2 linked regions of the Mytilus edulis genome follow. The protein of the gene in region 1 binds, or shares a complex with, the protein of each later gene. Links are inferred from orthologs where the notes say so. Each region holds a gene or a part of one and is shown on either strand. Other genes may lie near its edges. The genes, in order: mediator of RNA polymerase II transcription subunit 24-like and mediator of RNA polymerase II transcription subunit 25-like.

Region 1 (10,274 bases):
CTATTGTTATAGTAACTGAGATCTGGACTTGACCACCAAAACTTTACCTTGTTCACTGATCCATGAAATGAGGTTGAGGTCAATTGAAAACTGTCTGACATGCATGAGGACCTTGCAAGGTATGCACATACCAAATATAGTTATCCTATTACTTATAATAAAAAAGAATTTAACATTACAAAAAAATCTTAACTTTTTTTTCAAGTACTCACTGAACCATGAAAATGAGGTCAAGGACATTAGACATGTGACTGACGGAAACTTCGTAACATGAGGCATCTATATACAAAGTATGAAGCATCCAGGTCTTCCTAATTTTTAAATATAATGCTTTTAAGAAGTTAGCTAACGCCGCCGCCGATTCACTATCCCTATTTCTGCAACAAAAGTCGCAGGTTTGACAAATACACTGGTGTTTAACACCAATCAATCTATATCTTATACAATTCAAATGTATCTGCAGACAATGGCTACATTTTCTACCATTTGAGCTACATATGATAGAATACCTGAAATTTGTGGCAATATTTTCCACCATATTGATGAGACCTAGTATACAGTAAGGTTTAGAGAATTCATCATATTTTGTTATAAGTCCTAATGCAGTATTGTAAGGTATAACCTGAAAATAAACAATCACATAAGTGAATATTATGGTGAATCTGAATTCATAATATTCATTTGTATAAACTTTTTTTTTTTTAATTTTATGTATTGGGTTAATTTCTCCTCTTGAAAATCTCTTGACATACTTGATCTTTCCAAGGAATTGTCATACTTATAAAGGACCTTCTATGAAAGTAAAATAATGTGTTAGAGAACCTGACACTCACTGTTATTATTGGCTTAAAACAATAAAGGAAAAAAATATGCTTTCAAATCACCAGGGTATTTGAATAATACATATACATGCTTGAAATGTTAAAATTTAACAGAATACAAATGATTAGTAGTTATTTTGTTGTCTTAACTCTCACTTACCCTATCATTCTGTACTGTTCCCACTTATTTACATATATTTAATGTACTGGTACATAGACACATGACAGAGATAATTGATATGACAGGAATCATTCCAAATCAATGAAGCTTCTTTTAAGAGATGTATATATAAAATATAATAAATAAGGAAACATGGCCTGGTAACAATATGAATTTAAATGACACAACTATCCATCCAAGTCATGGGGGTGAACAACTATAGGTCACCATACAACTTTGAGCAAAACCCAAACTGTATAGTAAGCTGAAAAAGGCCCTAGATTGACACAATATGAAACAATTTAAAAGAAAAAAAGGTGAAACATACTTTAAACCAAATTTTTTTCGCAGATACTTTAATTCGCGTTTAGCCCTTTTGATTCCATTTCGCGGTAATTTAATTTCGGGATTTTCTAACTAACTTGATGTAGTTAAATAAGGAAAGATGCAAGTTTTACATATCCAAGATGATTTAAATTCGCACTATTTTTCTACTCGAGAAAGTCGCAAAAATAAATCGCTTGCGAAATTTAGTTGGTTTACAGTAATCAAACATTGTAATTTCTACTGTTTTCAAATATATACAGGTTAAGATTCATGTGGACCCTTTGACTAAAATGGCCGTATTTTCACCTCAAAATTTACTCGGAGTACAGACAAACCTGCACATCTGTAAAAATTTTCAGGCATAGCATAGCCATAGGGTCCACATGAACCTTAATCTTTTTAAAAGATAATTTTATACAAATATACCTGAGAAGTAACACTGTGCTTCAGGTATGATAAAATCAGATTATTTGGATTTGGTCCAACTAAGGCTTGCTGCATTAAAATCTCTATAAATATATTAATAAGATAAGTGTTATGATAACATTAGGCAAACAACATAAAATTACATCAACTGCTCAAAAAATGTATACATTGTACCAGTAAGGATATAAGCTTTCATTGAATCAGATTATTAAAATTTATTCTTATATGGCCAATGCACATTCTTTACATGCTTTATGACTATAAGAAGTAAGGAAAATAAATGACAAACATGCAATAATTCTACACAATTAATTATATAAATGGATGTCATATTTACATGGTGAGTATTTTTAAAGTACAATTCATATTTGTGAGTACAATAACTCACATAAAACTTTTAAGTGAATCTCAATCTTAAACTTCTATTAAACATTGTCTCTTTTCTGTATTAAGGGTTAATGAATATACATGAGTACCTGACAACTAAACATAAGGTTTTTTCTTCAATTTTATCGACATACCTGCCAATTCTTTTGCTTCTCCAGGTACATCAAGCAACATCTTCTTTAACATAACTCCCCAATGGTTATCCTGCCAACGCTCTCTCCATGCTCTCATCAACAATGTCTTTACTTTGTTACAGAATATACTGCCTTTTGATTGGTTAGAACTAGTTTGTTCCATTTTCTTCTCATGTATGAACAAAAGGAGCAATGGGGTATACCTCAACCTACATAGTATAAAAACATATGTTCATGAAATATACAATGTACCTTTCATTGATTGAGATTCATTGCATCTGTTAAAAGTTGGTGCATAATACATGTACATGTATATTACACATGTACTAACTAACTTCTTTACAATTCATTGCACATTAACTTTGTATAGATCTATACTGGTAAACTTTTCCTCCATAAAAAAAAAATTCCATAAATGATAACTTTAGTAATAACAACCAGATGCTCCGCAGGGCGCAGTTTTATACAACCGCAGAGGTTGAACCCTGAACGGTTGGGGCAAGTATGGACAAAACATTCAAGCTGGATTCAGCTCTAAATTTGTATTGTGATTAAATAGTTGACACAGCATAGGTTTCTGACACAGAATGAATGGGGTCTAATGAACTTAAAATATTTTTTTTGCCTTTGAGCAATTCACTATGCTGTTGAATATTAATCCTCTCAAAAAAATGTTTGAAGAAATTTTCTTTTTATTTATGAAATCTGAAATGAGAAAAATTTAACCCCCCCCCCCCCCCATTTTTTTTCACATCCCCCTTTCCCTTTTTCCAAAACTGATCTTAATTCAAATTTCTAATGGAGTTTGCAACAATAACTACTCATTTAAATATGTACATCATAAAATATTAAAATGTAAAATAAAGTGCTTGTTATCACTGAATGGTAAAGATTGTTTTAATTCAGCAGTTGGTAGTCAAAGTGAATATACATTGTATATTGTATAAAACAATGATTTAAGTTAATTTAACTACTATTCTGGACAAAGAAAGATAACTCCAATTGAAAATTTCTTGCTATTGCACAATATTGTGCAATTAGATATTTCTTGCTATTGCACAATACTGTGCAATTGAAAATACTGTGCAATTGAAGATTTCTTGCTATTGCTGAATACTGTACAATTGAAAATTTCTTGCTATTGCACAATACTTAATATAATAATTTTGGATCCTGATTTGAACCAACTTGAAAACTGGGCCCATAATCAAAAATCTTAGTACATGTTTAGATTCAGCATATCAAAAAAGCCCAAGAATTCAATTTTTGTTGAAATCAAACTTAGTTTAATTTTGGACCCCTTGGACTTTAATGTAGACCAATTTGAAAACAACCAAAAATTAAGAATCTACATACACAGTTAGATTTGGCATATCAAAGAACCCCAATTATTAAATTTTTGATGAAATCAAACAATGTTTAATTTTGGACCCCAATTTGGACCAACTTGAAAACTGGACCAATAATCAAAAATCTAAGTACATTTTTATATTCAGCATATCAAAGAACCCCAAGGATTCATTTTTTGTTAAAATCAAACTAAGTTTAATTTTGGACCCTTTGGAACTTAATGTAGACCAATTTGAAAACGGGACCAAAAATTCAGAATCTACATACACAGTTAGATTCGGCATATCAAAGAACCCCAATTATTCAATTTTTGATGAAATCAAACAAAGTTCAATTTTTGACCTTTTGGGCCCCTTATTCCTAAACTGTTGGGACCAAAACTCCCAAAATCAAACCCAACCTTCCTTTTATGGTCATAAACTTTGTGTTTAAATTTCATAGATTTCTATTTACTTATACTAAAGTTATGGTGCGAAAACCAAGAATAATGCTTATTTGGGCCCCTTTTTGGCCCCTTATTCCTAAACTGTTGGGACCTCAACTCCAAAAATCAATCCCAACCTTCCTTTTGTGGTCATAAACCTTGTGTTTACATTTCATTGATTTCTATTTTCTTATACTAAAGTTATTGTGCGAAAACCAAGAATAATGCTTATTTGGGCCCTTTTTTGGCCCCTAATTCCTAAAATGTTGGGACCAAAACTCCCAAAATCAATCCCAACCTTCCTTTTGTGGTCATAAACCTTGTGTTAAAATTTCATAGATTTCTATTCAATTTTACTAAAGTTAGATTGCGAAAACTAAAAGTATTCGGACGACGACGACGCAGACGACGCCAACGTGATACCAATATAGGACCATACGGTCATATAAAAATGTGACCATAGTAGAAGGATGCCTCACTAGCACTATCATCTATGCCGTTACAGATTGACGAACAAATGGATGCACAGACCGAAAAAAGTAATGCCCCTAGCTGGGGCATAATAATAAAAAAAATTTATGGCAAACTATTCCAACATATCTGACAAAAAAGAATTCAGGTTCTGACATGTAATAAAAGAGCAGTCTGATCACAATTTTTACAACTTTTTGCTGTAATTTTAATACTTTTTGCATCATATGTAAACAAGCAAGAATTGCAATGTACCATAATTTTTGTTATGATATGTACCTGACCTTCATACATGTACCTGACCTGTCCCAAGTCAGGAGCCTGTAATTCAGTGGTTGTCATTTGTTTAAGTGTTAGGTCTAGATACATATACTATGACAGATCATGACAAATAATTTATATTTCAAAGTTATTCACTGGCTAGAGGACTTTTATCCGAGTTGTGCCAACCTGATTGTGTGAGTGCTTCAGCCGAATTATACTCATGCAGATCTGATTAAGTTCCAATGCTTAAAATGCATGCATTTGTGATATTGTGACAGAAATGCATTAAATTTTGATTTCTTACAATAAAGAAAAAAAATCCCGGAAGTATCTAACCTAAAAGCTTGTTCAATGTCGGACTGGACTCAAAAGTTAACTTCCGGTACTAAATTCTAAAAGATGATGTTTTGAAAGTGAAGCGATGGAAAATAGTGGTTTAACTGAAGATAATTCTATGTATGGAACCTTAGTTCTGATTATAACAAATGAAAACAAACGTTAAAAATCATATGAAAAGAGATTAATTCATTAAATCAATACAAAGCACATAAAACCAAACAAAAACACAAACATTACAAAGTACAGATCTAACTTTTAGACTAGAGCAAGGACGTATATCTAATATACGTCCTTGACTAGAGTAAGAGTACATGTACTTCAGACAGTCAGTTACTGACTTCTGGTCAGTTTAGTACCTGGTCAAATCGGCACTCATTATTGCCATTGTTGGTCATTTTATAGCTAACAATGCTGTATGTTTGCTCATTGTTGAAGGTTAATATTTACTTTTATTTTATGGAGAAGCCTCCTGTTTTTTTTTAACAGAGTTAGTAAATCTATCAATTACTAAGTCAACTCCTTACCGGAAGAAGACAGTGACCTATTGTTGTTAATTTATGTGTCATTTAGTCTATTGTGGAGAGTTGTCTCTGACATCAAAATAGCAATCATGAGAATCCGGGTCGGTTCGCCCTTAAACACATTTATGCCTATTCACATTCCTCCTATACTGTACGTTCGCCCTCAAGTCTGTGTAAAGTAAGTAAGTAAGTAAGTAAATTTTATTTAGAGTCGGCATATATATACACAATAACAGAGAAAACATGTGCACCCTGTTGATTGGTTTTAAATGTTAAATAATTTGTATTCAAGTTTTAATGGTGTTAATAAGTACAGATAACTTAAATAATTTGTATTCAAGTTTTGGAAAGTGTATTTGCTATATAATCATGATAATCAGTTGTTTTCATTGTTTTGAAATAAGGTGGGAATTTTTCTGACAATATTTTTTTTGGTGTTAAATAAATCTTCATCACATTTTGGTTAGTGTATTGCTATAACTATTTTTCATTGTTTCAAAATAAACTGATCATGAGCTCAAACATGTCAAAGGGGCAAAGCTGTTAAAAACAATTGACTTTCAGGTTTTTTTTTACATTTCAAATCTTTCAATTGTATTATTTTACTCATACCAAGCTAAATACATGCACTAAGGCAAGTTAAAACAACATTTATGATTTTCAAACACACAGCAATAACACCAAATTTAGCTTATTTATCATGTGCGAACGGACCAAAGGGGCAAACCTGTAGGGAGCGAAAGTGTATTTGGCGCAACCATCATACATTTTCATCTTTTTATAGATTGGAGTTCATTTTAAGGTTCATCATAACAAATGGACAATAATATTTGTATATACAACTGAAAAACTACTCTGATTACAGACTAACCTGTCCAGTCTGAAAAGTTTTCCGGCCTAGCATCAACTAGATATAAAAGTTAACAACCCTTGGTGGGAATTTTTGTTCATTCCTGGATAAGATGTTTTATTTAACGAGATTGGTTACTGCATTGTAGTTTGGCATACTCAAAAGTTTCTGTATTTTGTGGTTTGGCATGCTGAACTTCTGTTTTAAGTCTTTCAAGCGTTACCACTGAAGAATGATTTAATTTATTTTTCTTAAATAGACCAAATTTGAGAATGTTTAGATATATATACATGTAAGTTGGAGAATATCTTTTATTTTCATATTTACATACATGTACATTAATTTACTTCTACATATATTTGTAAATATAGCCCACAAGAAGGCCATGGCCAGACTACAGCTGGACTGGAAGTTATAAACATCCCACTGCTACATGTAGATGGAAGCAATAATATAGCCCTTACAAGGTAAATATGATAACTTGAATTTAGAAATGTTATATAGTTAACAGTAGTAGTAGTTATGAGCCTCCTATATGTACATGCTGTATACAGATTCTTATAAAATTATACAGTCTCAACAATATGTGTATGGTATTCTAGAGATAGTACACACAACTATACAGGACTGGAATCCTGGTTCATCTGACCATTACCTCATTATAATAATAATATTTATAATGTTAAGTTTATGTGATACTTGTTGTAAAACCATTATGTTACATATACTTTCAACATAACTTTAATGATAAGTAAAACAGGTGAGACAGTTCAGCGCATGAACTCTTGTGATAATTGTCATGCTGATTTGTGTAATTTATTTAAGGTGGTACCCAACACCTTCACTAAAATTAACTTGGCTCGTTTAATTTTCATAAAATTTTGGCATAGTATTTGCTTTGACCCTTTGACAAAAATGTAAAAATTTCAAAAAATTTGAACCAACCATTTTATCAGAAAAATTACACTGGTTATATAGCAGTTTGACAAACACTAATTTTGATCATTGAGAAGCTTAATATTCCCTTAACAACACAACGTAATTAAAACGTTTAGCTGATTTTACAGAGTTATCTCCCTGTAGTGTAAGGTACCACCTTAATTTTATCATTTATGAAAAATTGCATGTTCTGTAAGTAAAAGTACTGCATTATAAATGTACTTTTGTATTTTTGCAGGCTGCTTGCCCAGCATGGTATTACCCTACAGACTGGTCTTAGTGATGTTCAAAATGGACAGCTTCTGTCTGTTAATGGTGTAGAATCATTATCACAAAACAACATTGAAGCATCAAGTCTTATTGAAAGTACCAATCAGATTGTATTCACCTCATCAGGAAATGTGGATAATCAAATTTCAACCAATGATGGTCTCCCTATTGTTGGTAATCAAATGTTGTGTGTTCCCAACATGACCCAAACATTGACCTTTGTCACTGACTACATGCCAGATGTGGTTGCGAGTGGCAATGTGCCATCTGATAATTTTCGCAATAACATAAGTCTACAATATAGAATACAGTCATATGAACCTTATGAGGAAAAGAAGGTAAATAAAATTCAATTCTGGTTTATTGCCTCGTCTGCAATGAAAAATAAAAATAGGTTTTAATATAATATGTAGCTTTTGGTAAAATCCTGATATCAGCTTACATGTTAGAGATTTTTATGCCCCACCTACGATAGTAGGGGGGCATTATGTTTTCTGGTCTGTGCGTCCGTTTGTCCGTCCGTCCGTTCGTTCGTCCGTCTGTCCCGCCACAGGTTAAAGTTTTTGGTCAAGGTAATTTTTGATGAAGCTGAAGTCCAATCAACTTGAAACTTAGTACATATGTTCCTTATGATATGACCTTTCTAATTTTAAAGACAAATTAAACTTTTGACCCCTATTTCACGGTCCATTGAACATAGAAAATGAAAGTGCGAGTTTCAGGTTAAAGTTTTTGGTCAAGGTAGTTTTTGATGAAGTTGAAGTCCAATCAACTTGAAACTTAGTACAAATGTTCCCTATGATATGATCTTTTTAATTTTAACGCCTAATTATATTTTTTACCCATTTTCACGGTCCATTGAACATGGAAAATGATTGTGCCAGTGGGGCATCCGTGTACTTTGGACACATTCTTGTTTTTCATCCTTGACCTCTTCTTAAACAGAGGTTAAAATTTGAAAACTTGATGATTCTGAAGGCTATGTTTGAGTAATAGTCACCAGGAACATAAAATATAAATGTAAATTGAAGGTGAAGGTGAACAATGCCATTTGTTGTTGATGATTTACTTACTGATTGTTTAGTCAAGTAACAATCACTGAATTATGTGAAAAAAGTTATTGATGAAAAAACAGTTACCTAATATATTCCCTTTATTAGTTTACATTGTAATCATATAATTTTAATATGTAAAGCAAATTGAAGGCACTCAAAATATTTCTACTTTTTTTCTCTTCAGATATTTTCACATGTAGTTGCGTTTTTGTCAGAGGACATATGTGCTGAGATGTTTACCAACCATTCTGGTTACTTAGACCAGTTAGAAAAAGGTGATGTGTTCCAAATTACAAAACAAGAAGAAAGTTATACTGTTGCTGGAGAGTTATGGTCCTTGTTAATGCTTCAGAAAAGACTACAGACATTATTAAGAACTGGTAAAAAGCAGTCAGCAGAATACAAGAAAAGGGAATTCTGTAACAAATGTGTTCAGACTGAGAAACCTAAGACAACTGATACTGCTGTTCAGACTAACTATCCAATCAAAAAACAAGGATTAGTCAACTGTGGTACCATGTGTGAAATTCTCCTGCCATCTGTCACAGCTTTTGGGCGGGAAATAAAACAATCTGGGAGGTATAACACTAATAGTTCTACATTCCTCTCTCATTCTGTTGATGAAGACATGGATGAGGAATATACACCTAGGACAAGCAGAAGAAAGAGAAAGGTAATTATATCCAATCTTTCTTGTACATGCGGAATATGGTAATTTGCATTTACAATTATGGTAGATAGCTATATAGGCAATGTCCAGAAGTATATATATTTGTACCAATATTTAAAGGCAAAATATGATAAAACTACAAAATGTACAAACATAAAAGTATCAGTAAATTAGATTTAAAAAAAACTAACATTAATTGTTAAGTGTACATGTACTGTAATTAAACATTGAATGTGTCCCAATACAAGCATTGTTCTGTCAGAAAATGTCAATATGTACATGTATGAAGAGAGAACCACTGAGTGTATCATGCTGTTTATACACCACTGTAGCCATTTCATGTCATTGATTGCAATCCAGTTCAACAAATTATGATTTTGCTGTAAGCATGATTATTTGAGTACACATTCAAATTTTTAATTCATTTATTACTATAGAAAAATTTGCAAACTACTGTAAAAGCAGTAAAAGTTTTTGTGAAGGATTTAGTTTCGTTTATTTCGTGGAACGAATATTATTATATCCACAAAATTAAATCCCCATGAAAATTTATATAGAGACAAAACCATGAAGTTTTAACCCCAAGTTAAAGAACATATTATTGATACAATGTCATAATCAAGGATCCTGAAATATGTCATTCATGCATGTCTGATTTTAAAAAGAAATGACTAAAATATTTATGTTTTTTTAAACACATTTATAATTCTGAATTTTAACAATTTCAAACCTCTGTTATAAATATTTGTAGATACCTAAACGAGCTGCAACAGCCTATGAACATAGTGATATAAAGATAAAAAATGACAAGGTCAAACAAAGTCAGAGGATAGTTGTTGTACAAGATGATACTGTTACTGTCAAAG
Region 2 (11,102 bases), on another chromosome or scaffold:
TTTGTCATATTTAAAAAACCCTGCTGTAATTTACATTTGTACATGTATCTTTTAGTTAACCAGTCCAACATGTTGAGTTATTTCTACGAAAGTGAAGCTTTGTACTGCAGCACATTTTGTTATATGGTTGAGTATCATAATTATTGAATGGAATTAAAAGACTATGACAAAGTTCAGTAACTTTGTACCTCTGCAATTTTTAAAATGCATATTAACTTATTATAACATGTATAATTTAAAGGGTAACCAGCTGGCAGACAATCATTTTGATTTACAATTTCATGTAAATTTACTAGTAGAATAGCTGACATAATTTTTATTGGCTTTACAACTGCAATGCATGACCATCATGACCATTGACCAGCTGTCACATTGTTATATTCTCTGACAGTTCAACACTTTAATATAAGTTAGGGCGACAATAAAAACACCTTTCTGAACATTGCTGAAAGATAAATGTACATGTATATATTCAATTTATCAAATTTTTACCGACATGGTTAATTATATCTGCTTGGGTTGTTCACACTATTTTGTGGTAATTTAACAACACTGTATTTAAAAAGTGGAACTTTAAGAGGTGGTTTATAAAATTGAGAATAGAAATAAGTGTCAAAAGACTAAAACCTGACTATAGAGTAGAAAACAGCTGAAGCCAACCAATGGGTTCAATCATGTCAATACAGCGAGAAAATCCAGCACATGGAGGCATGCTTCATTTTGTATGATAACCACTTACTAAGTCTAGCAGTACTAGTAATATTTTTATCACAAGAAGAAATGAAACTAGTTAAATTGTTTTATCACAAAAAACAATGACACTACATGTCCTAGTTATTGTCATCTAATAAAATCTATATTTTTTAACCTGAACATGTCAGATGAAAATCATGAAATATGAAACACTGGCACCAAAATTAATTAAATATGGACCATAATTTGCTATTGGGCTCGTTTCCTATAACGATAGAAAAGTGATAAAAATGTGTATTTCTGTAAGAAAAGTTGTAACTACATTTAAAGATGCCTTTATTTTTATCAACATACAAGTGTATGCTACTTTTCCCTATAAAAAAAATTGAAATTAACCAATTTCATAGATTATACGACCTTATTTTTGTGTCGTTTCTCGCGATACTTTTCGCTTCCGAAGTGCATAACGCTGACTGATTTATAGATAATCGTCACCGGCAAATTCTTAACTTTTGCTTTCAAATAATAAAGAACATCGACCAATAAGAATAGTCAGAAGAAAATGCAGAGAACTATAAGTATTTCTGTAGTAGGTGTAAGAACACTGGCGTTACTTTCGTTTCCAATTCCGTAACGCAAATTTTAGATGATGTAATCTGCTTTGTTGTAACAGAATTCTTTATATCAATATGCAAATATGAACTCTCGCGAGATGTTCAAACAGGTAAATCAGAGATGGTTTACATTCTAGTTTTGTTCTTCGTAATAATTAAGTTAGAAAATGACGTTATCGTTATGCGTTACATTTCACACGAAACAGAAGTCCAGTTATTTCCTTTTTTTTATTAAAATTGTTTTTGTCGTTAAGTTCTAATCATTTCCGGTCATACGTGAAACATGTGACTAACAAGTGATCACCCTATTACGGCCGGATATACGAAATACTAGGTCTAAACATTGTTTTTGTTTCCAACGGGATGTTAGCAAACATAATCTGTAGACTTGTTTCTTCTTGTTTAAAAAAGGAAAATACAATTTTCAAAGAGATTGCGCCGGGGGTCTATTATTTTTCCTATGTGCATAATGTTACATACGATCTTGTGTGAAAATAAATGCCCAATGACTTGACAAAATCGATTTCAGATTTGACAATGTTATAACACACTTCATTTCCGGATATCGATGTAAAGGGATCTTGGAAAATTCAATCAAAATTATGTCTCTTATCATTGTGCCGATGCTCGTTCGATTGATTTTGCTTCAGCAGTAAATTTTACTGGATATTTAAGGTGAATTAAGATAATTTAATAAAAAATACATGTTAATATACCGTTACACTTGGAATGTACAAAGTTGGTGTCTTTGTCACAATTTTTAATTATTTTTTTTTATTCATGTTCTGCAAACACTTTTCAGAAACACAATAAACTTGTCAAAGGAGAAGTAAACTTTCACCATGCATGACTTGAAAGGAAGTACTTTATTGATTTTAGCCCACTAAAGTAGGTTAAAATGTGGAAACCATGTAGATGGTGTACAGGTCACAAATATCACATGGTGCCTATTTTAAAGATTTTAATTCCAAGTTAAAAGTTTTTTTCTTTACTGGATTTAAAGAATTTTACATTGCCATGATTTGGAATAAATTGTATATAACTGGAATTTCAAAACCAAATATAACTACATTTTTTTGGCTAAAACATCAAGATACAACGATTATGGTATCCTGTATCAATGAAGAAAATATGGAAATTTCTGAATAAATTGTACTAATTGTTTTCAAAACAAGCACATATTTAGGAGTTTTATAATACTGTTACATATAAGATGGATTTTAAGAAAAAGTATACTGTTCAGATTATTTTAAGCAGATTTTGCAATAAAATAAAACTAAAAAAATGCTTTCGGTTTCTTATGGTTTCCTGTCGCGTTTAAAAAAACCTTTAATTTAACATTGAAAATAGATTTTAAATATTAACATGAAGCAAGTAACACTAGTAATGGTGTTCATTTATGTCTTTTGAAATATATTGTGCAAAATAAAGAAAATAAAGATTGGTTTCCTGTCACGTAAACGGTGAATCAAAATGTATTATTTTTTTCTTGAACTCAATTGTTCCATTAATACTATTCTAACACCAACACAACATGCACAACCCACAGAATAAAAGTTAAAGTTTTAGAACTTATAAAAAAGGATACAACAAGAAACCAAAGGCCGAATACCAAATTATGGTCCATATACACGGGTCATAATCACAGGGTTGACACTACTAAATTGTCAAATTGTTACCTATTGTAGTATTTTAATCAGTAAGACTTTCTCAGATAACAATACGAATACTAACAAGAGTGCACACGCTGAAATGTCTCGCCTTCTATACTAATCATTGATATTATGTTGATAGTCCTAAGTATAAAGCTTAGTTTTATTACAACTGTCTCATAAACTTAACATTAACCAAGATAACTAAACAAAGACCAATGAACCTTGAAAATGAGGTCAAGGTCAGATGAACCATGCCAGGCAGACATGTACAGCTAACAATGCTTCTATACAACATATATAGTTGACCCATTACTTATACATGTTATAGTTTAAGAAAAATAGACCAAAACACAAAAACTTAACACTGTGCAATGAACCGTGAAAATGATGTCACGGTCAAATGAAACCTGCGCGACTGACATAAAGATCATAAAATATTTCCATACACCAAATATAGTTGACCTATGGCATACAGTATTAGATAAAAAGACCAAAACTCAAAAACTTAACTTTGACCGCTGAACCATGAAAATGAGGTCAAGGTCACATGACATCTGCCCGCTAGACATGTACACCTTACCATCATTCCATACAACAAATATAGTATACCTATTGCATATAGTATGAGAAAAACAGACCAAAACACAAAAATTTAACTATAACCACTGAACCATGAAAATGTGGTCAAGGTCAGATGACACCTGCCAGTTGGACATGTACACCTTACAGTCATTCCATACACCGAATATACTAGCCCTATTGCTTATAGTATCTGAGATATGGACTTGACCACCAAAACTGATCCATGAAATGAGGTCGAGGTCAAGTGAAAACTGTCTGACAGACGTGAGGACCTTGCAAGGTACTCACATACCAAATATAGTTATCCTATTACTTATAATAAGAGAGAATTCAATATTACAAAAAATTTGAACTTTTTTTTCAAGTGGTCACTGAACCATGAAAATGAGGTCAAGGACATTGGACGTGTGACTGACGGACACTTCGTAACATGAAGCATCTATATACAAAGTATGAAGCATCCAGGTCTTCCACCTTCTGAAATATAAAGCTTTTAAGAAGTGAGCTAACACCACTGCCGTAGCTGCCGCCGGATCACTATCCCTATGTCGAGCTTTCTGCAACAAAAGTTGCAGGCTCGACAAAAATCTGGACTAAAAATAAGGCGTATAGGTACAGTTTTCAAATTGTAAGCGTGAAGTAAAACAGTGAATCAAAGAATTCAACTTTATTTATAACTAATATAAGACAATGCTGTTGATTAAAAAATACTCCATTCCAGGACCTTTTGTTTTCCAAATAATTAATATTACCAATAATTGATAAGTTCCAGTTCGACGGATTCAAACAGAAAGATTTGAAAGCAGAGAAAACTGTGTATCTTATAATCGTCATGACTTTATCAGATGACAATACTAATACTAAAATAAGGCTTGCGCATAGTTATATACTTTAATTCAGTCACGGACCCGCGATATCACGGGTTTGTTCTAGTATATGTATATATATCTTTCTTTGGTTATTCGTGTTAACCTGTTAACAACACACTTCTTAACACAGACACTTGTTTCTATCCATTGAAAGTCCCACTATCAACGTATATTATTCATAAATATACGTTGATAGTGGGGCTTCCAATGGATAAAAACAAGTGCCTATGCTTCTTAGAATTGATAATGGTAGTTTTAATCTTTATTACAGACACAGGTTATTCCAAAGAACACTTCCTTAAAGTATAATATTCCCCAAAAGTAAATGGGGAATCCCCAAAGTTTGAACTAAGAAATAAATAAATGTCAAACAAAATTAAAAACATTAATAACAATCAACGTTCTCTTACTCTAAAGTGGGGATAATATAATTCTCCTTTAAGACGTCAATATATCCACCGAGATTTGCAGTTCCTTCAACAACAAATACAACATCTGACGGGTTTTTAAAACTGTCTGAGATTACCATCGTCCGTTTCTTTCTAGCATATGGAAATTGTAAACGGAAGTAGGGCGATTGACAGATACTTTTACGTTATTCCGCATGCGCATGAATTACGAAACCGTTAAATATAGTTCTTATTCTTCTTCGGGAAATGTTCATATGTAAGCATCTTTTAATATATTACATCGTAAATTTTCAGCATAATGGACATAAGTTAAATTTGTTTGTGACAAATATTAGTTTTTTACGATTATTTGGCAAAAATATATTTCTTCTACAAAATAAAACTCGAAACGAAAACGGGTGAAATTACGGAATAGGCGAAAGGTCAAAAGTTGGCACTTAGTCTGTCAGTTTGCAGCGAGGGTATTAAACAGTTATATAGGTAGCTCTTAAGAGATATTGGTGTTGTTTTAAGTAATTAGGAATGTAAAATCTGCGACAGTTTTATGATTTTTAATCATGCAAATGATTTTTATCCTTAATACTATAAGTTCTTTGGGTTTTTATATGTCTCTGGTTGATAGATGAAATATTTGCCACTGGACGTGAATCAACAACAATATCAACAAGCATTAGCCTTTCAAAAAGGGCTAGTCGACTCTTAGCTGATGAAAGTGCTCTCGCTTTGTAGATTAATACATTTACTAGAATAACCATGTGCATCAATCAACAAATTTTACCACACCGTGAGGTCACACGTTATGAAGTAGTATACATATCGTTTAACATTGTTGTCTACGAAACTCCAGATCTGGAGATTCGACTATTTATAGATAAAAGTTACCTGTGGTCCAATATCATGAATATGCCAGGGACGGATCCAGGATTTTCGGTTAGGGGGGGCGCAAATTTAAATTTTCGCTGAGCGGAGCGAGGCGAAAAATTTTTGGAGGTATTAATTTCGAAATTATTGAAATATTCTTTTAGAGAGGGTGCAATGTAGATATCTCGCCAAGCGTATTGAGAAATAAATATTTTGTGGTAAAATTAGCGAGAAATTAAAGTTTCAAGCTAAACCCGCATAAATCCACCCCTTACAATCTGCAATCACCTAATTAACAAGAAATCTGCGAGCTTCTATTCATTGACTCAATAATAGCTCACCAACCAATATAAGATTTCGAAAACAAAAAGTTCTACTTTTGCCAGCGATTTTTAATTGCCTTTTCTTAATTTTTCTCTTTTTTTTCCGGAGGTCGTGTCAAACTTTTTATATACATTTTTACCGCAAACCAGTAAAATCCGAAAGAGGTCCTTGCGAAGATATGTTTATTTTCGTGGGATCCTATGTAATACGGTAGTACGGGTTAGGGCCTTTACCGTGTATGTAGGCTTCGGCAAACTTTACAGGTTGAAAGTGAGAAACATATATTGATATCATACAGAGATATTAAATAATGATACAAATTAATAAACTAACTTTCGCTTGAACCAGTATTCCTATATTTCATTAAGAAAGAGTTTAAACAGGACTGTTTTCTTGGCAGTGCCATGATGAAATAACCAACCCAACCGCGGGTAGGGCACTTTCGCCTACTTCGTGGGAAAGTAAGGTAGGGTTGTTTTTGAACTTCGATTATCCAAGAAATTGTTTATAACATCCGCAACTACCCCAGGGATCTCCATGGCCTGTTTAACGATGGCGCCCCGCCATCGTTCAAATGTCTTGCGCCATCGTCAAATGACTTGCTCCATCGTTAAATTATCTTGCGCCATCGTTAAATTGTCTTCCGCCATCGTTCAACATGTTCAAAACTTCATCTTTTTTGTAGCCCGACGCCATTTTTTTATCAATTATAATCAAATGCATGTAATTGCATAACCCTCAGGCTTTTTATGTTATAATCCAACACAGTTCTAACGCCTGGGGGATATCCGGATTAAGATCGCTAATCACTTGTACCTGAGCTTGTACAGGTAGATCAACAAACCAGACAGGAGAATACTATCTGAGGATAGACGATCCATTTGTCGAATTAATCAACTAAGTTTCAGCAAATGATTATGATAATTTAGATTAAATAAATAAATTAATAATCCAGTTACAAAGAAAACAGTTTAACAAGTCAAACACGTGCTTTATTTTGACTTGCGCAATCAGCATCCCCCTTTTTTAAGAAGTACAAAATAAGACGCAAAACAGTAAATATTATTTCATCACAAATAACTCGAGTACTGCTGTAACGATAATTTAAAATGACTTTAAAAGTTTAAAAGTAAAAACTTATAAATATTTCCTGTCAAGAAATATCGTATCGTAATTCCGAATTCATTTCGTATATTACAATCAAATTGATACATCCGCGTTTCCGGTTTCTATTCAGACTCGAAAGATGCATGTTGCACAGCATCAATTTGTCAGATAAAGTCATTAAAAACCTTTTCATTTGCTTTACAAATCTCTTTAACCTTTTACATAACCCGTACCAATCGTTTTGTTGTTGCTGCAAATCAGCCATACCGGTAATGGGTTCTGAATTTGACAGTGTTCATGAAAAATAAGATCCACATCATATGATTTTTAACCCCCATAACAATTACCAAAAATACAAGCGATCTACATGGGGACCTTCATGACAGCTTTTAGTCATTCTCGACTAAGGGGGGACCATGAAGACTTGGTATTGGAATGGTTAAAAACGGCAATAAATGAACATATTGACACTTCTAATTCTATAATGAAAATTCAAATAAATATAATTTCAATAAGCAATGAATTGGCATGTTCACCATTCCTTGTATGGAGGGATAAAATACTTCCGATCGTGCTACACTGTACAGCGTATACACGGTTTATAATGGTGAAAGTTCCTCCATGGTTCAATTTTCATCCATGGAGATCCCTGTACCCTGTCACAATTGTTTTACTTGAACTGCTAAAAGCCTATGATAATTTTTCACCAAACGCAGTACCGCGTTTGATACCTTTCTTTGAAGCATAATATATTTATAGAACTTATGAATAAACCGTAAGTCAGTTTATTAGTAATCATGTTGATTCTGTTAAACTTATTGTTTTATATACTTCTTTGAATATTAAAACAGATGCAATGCGACGACATTGATATTCGTCATCTGTTCAGATACTTTATTTAGCTGAGGACAACCCATGCTTTTTAAATTTTAGGGGGGGCGCACGCCCGCCACGCCCCCGCCTAAATCCGCCCCCTGTATGCATGATTAATGACCAGGCAAAATCTAATTGCTAAAATAGAGAGGACAAATTTGATACTCTACGGGATTGAAGGACATTTACTAGGTTTGGATTGTCCTAACCAATCAATAAACTTTGATTATTCACGTCTCGTAATATCTTCCAATCACGTAGCAAGAAAAATTCACGTACTGACTGTCCATCATTCAATAGGAGTCGATAAAAAACAACTTTTGAGTTTGATGCATTCTCGACAAAATCTTTTGTTTTAGTGAACATTGGTGTGTTTAAGTCATCATCACTTCAGTTCCAATGTTGATTTAGTGGTTGGAAGACTATGAAAGTATGATGCTATATATTATAATATACCTTTTATCGTGTTAATTTTGTGGGTGTAAAATTTCGTGATTTTCATTGAACAAATGTTGAAAAAGCATGATAAGGTATACGAAATATTTTGGCATATAATATTTTGTTGAATTCAAAAATTTTGTCAATACTTTTACATGTGCATTTTTAAATTGGTGGAATTTATTTTGTCGATTTTGTTCTATCCGCTAAAAATTTCGAAAATTTACACCCACAAAAATAACCTGCTATACAGTATTGCACAAATTTGAAATTATTCGGCAAACTGAACTCTCATAATTGACAATCAGCACTGCTGTCATTAGGGAATTGTGATTAAGTACCTACAGAACGAATATTATTTCTATTTTATCCTGCACAATGACATTTATTTAGACTCTTGATGAAAGTTAATAGTGCAGGAATACAGGTGATCCCCTCTATCTGGTAAACAATGTCATAAAGGCGCTCATAATTGATGAGTTTTTTCGATGAAGGACAAACTCGAAAGTGGTCTATTACAGTATATTCAGAAATATTGCATACATTTACTTTTGTTATAGAATTGCCAGTAACATGATGAATGCAAGAGTTATTAATAACTATTGTGAATTCAGGAAAAGCTTTAAACATTCACAATTTCACATGCATCAGATATTAGAATTTGGGTTCTGTTCATTGCAATACTGCCCCTGTCGCATTATCAGCATTAATTTAAACCTCTCAATACAGTGCAATTTATGAATTTACATACATGACATACATTAAAAGCAAATTCAGTATTTCAAAGCTTTTATGTATTGTTTTATGCATATATGGCCTCCTGGGGTCCTAATTTGGTGAATAAAATTATTCTATTCTATTTTGTATTTGTGTGTGCATCTGCAGCTTTATTCCTTTAACTGTTATGAATCACAATTCATATCTGAACTTCGTATTTTTGTCAATACATTCAGATATTTATATAAAACGATATATTTCATGTATTTTATGTGAAAAAGAGGAGAAAGGGACATTCAACCTCAAAAATGGAAAACAAACTGAAAACACCTTGGGAAAAAAACAAAAGCCATGACAGGACTAAGACCTGAGTACACGAAACACAACATAGAAAACTTTTAAAAGACATTAGACATGTAGACATAGAGCCATGAACCTCTCAAAAACTGGGGGTATTCTCAGGTGTTATGAGTGAGAAGGCAGATGTTGCTACACATGACCATGTGTAAACCAATTTAGTTTTTTGCAAAATATATAATATTCAAATGACATTTTTAATTATACATGTTATTTATCTACCTAAACTGACTCTTACATAATTTAATACTTGTGATGTCCATTTGTAGTTCATGTCTAGTTCATTAACTGTTCATGAATCTTTAATTCATGAATTGTGTTCATGAATCATTCATGAATCATCCATGAACATTCATGAATTATTCATAATCATTTCGCAGGGGTTGGTTTGCTCCCTCTTACATCATGTACATGATGTACATGTCTTATGAAATGAAATTTGGTTCAATACATGTACAATGATGTATGTATACATGAAGGTTTGCAGTGTTGTCTTGATTTCAATTAATGAAATATTTTCATTACAAAAAATATAAATAAATCATTAATGCAATTTTAAGAAAACCAGGTGAGACATTAGGATTATAGTGTGTGCACTCTTGGTACCCATTTTTCTGGGATTTTTTTGCAGAAACTATAAGAAATAGACAGAAATGGTTTGCAGCAAAAATGTTTAGCAAATGAGTCCTTCAAATAAATCATCATGACCAAAACAGTCAATCGAAATATGAGTTATTTCCCCTGAGGAATGATTTACTCAATATTTTGAATTTTTATATAGTCATAGGCTTTACATGCTACAGTGGTTAGGGTGAAAATTTTAAAAAGCAAAATAGATGATAAGATCAGCAAGTTAACATTTAACAGGGCCAAATTATCCCACTCCTTACTGGATATATTGCCCTTAAATCATTGTTTTTTTTTTTTAATAATTTCTTTAGTTTTGCCCATCAGGTCCAAAAGATTACTAGATAAGTATGAAGCAAATTTCATTAATACAATTAACATGTACAACAATGTCTTGCAATCAGATTGGCAAATAATCAAACTGATCGCAATAAAAGTAAGATGAATATCAAAGTTACATATTTTTACCTTGTTAGCGATTCAGGCTCTTGGGAGCCTCTTGTTTGATTTATACATGTCATATACTATTAATACTTTCCATGTTTTCTTTTCAGTTAGATGATATACAGTTAACAAAATGGCAGCAATACCGAGAAGTTTAAGAATATTTCCTGCTTCATGTACTCATTTAACAAGACAGTTGTTTCCAAAACCACATCACAGAAATAAATTGTCACAAGCAAGGTCCACATGTTTACATTACAGTACAGACAAAAGGAGTGTACCTCCTATTACTAACGTCAATGGAGAGACAATAGTACGGAGTCCATATCCAGATCTCTCAATACCACAGTGTTCCTTCGCAGAATATGTGTTTGAACAGCTCGATAACTTTTCTGATTTTGCATTGATGGTGTGTAAAGTATTTTCTTCACAGGTTTACAATGGCAAATGAATGGGGTTTTAATGGTTTGAGATAAAAAAAAAAAATGTACTTAAGGATTGGAAATATTATACATGTACATAGCACAGTTT

What was found.
Region 2: mediator of RNA polymerase II transcription subunit 24-like (region 1) and mediator of RNA polymerase II transcription subunit 25-like share a complex: the UniProt entries of both Homo sapiens proteins name them as parts of the mediator complex. The link is inferred for Mytilus edulis from reciprocal best matches to the Homo sapiens genes MED24 and MED25.

What each region holds. Positions count from the first base shown.
Region 1 is NC_092345.1:94,570,783-94,581,056, reverse strand, and holds the start of mediator of RNA polymerase II transcription subunit 24-like, read right to left. Parts: upstream 5,118-10,274; 5' UTR 5,069-5,117; exon of another isoform or gene 4,951-5,068; intron 2,465-4,950; 5' UTR 2,419-2,464; coding exon 2,256-2,418; intron 1,818-2,255; coding exon 1,735-1,817; intron 623-1,734; coding exon 510-622; intron 1-509. Other genes in the region: uncharacterized protein, read left to right, coding at 5,186-5,220, 6,846-6,941, 7,652-8,021, 8,923-9,411, 10,160-10,274. UniProt on the Homo sapiens protein: Component of the Mediator complex, a coactivator involved in the regulated transcription of nearly all RNA polymerase II-dependent genes.
Region 2 is NC_092350.1:24,519,707-24,530,808, reverse strand, and holds the start of mediator of RNA polymerase II transcription subunit 25-like, read right to left. Parts: upstream 4,987-11,102; 5' UTR 4,943-4,986; coding exon 4,824-4,942; intron 1-4,823. Other genes in the region: probable 4-coumarate--CoA ligase 3, read left to right, coding at 10,705-10,980. UniProt on the Homo sapiens protein: Component of the Mediator complex, a coactivator involved in the regulated transcription of nearly all RNA polymerase II-dependent genes.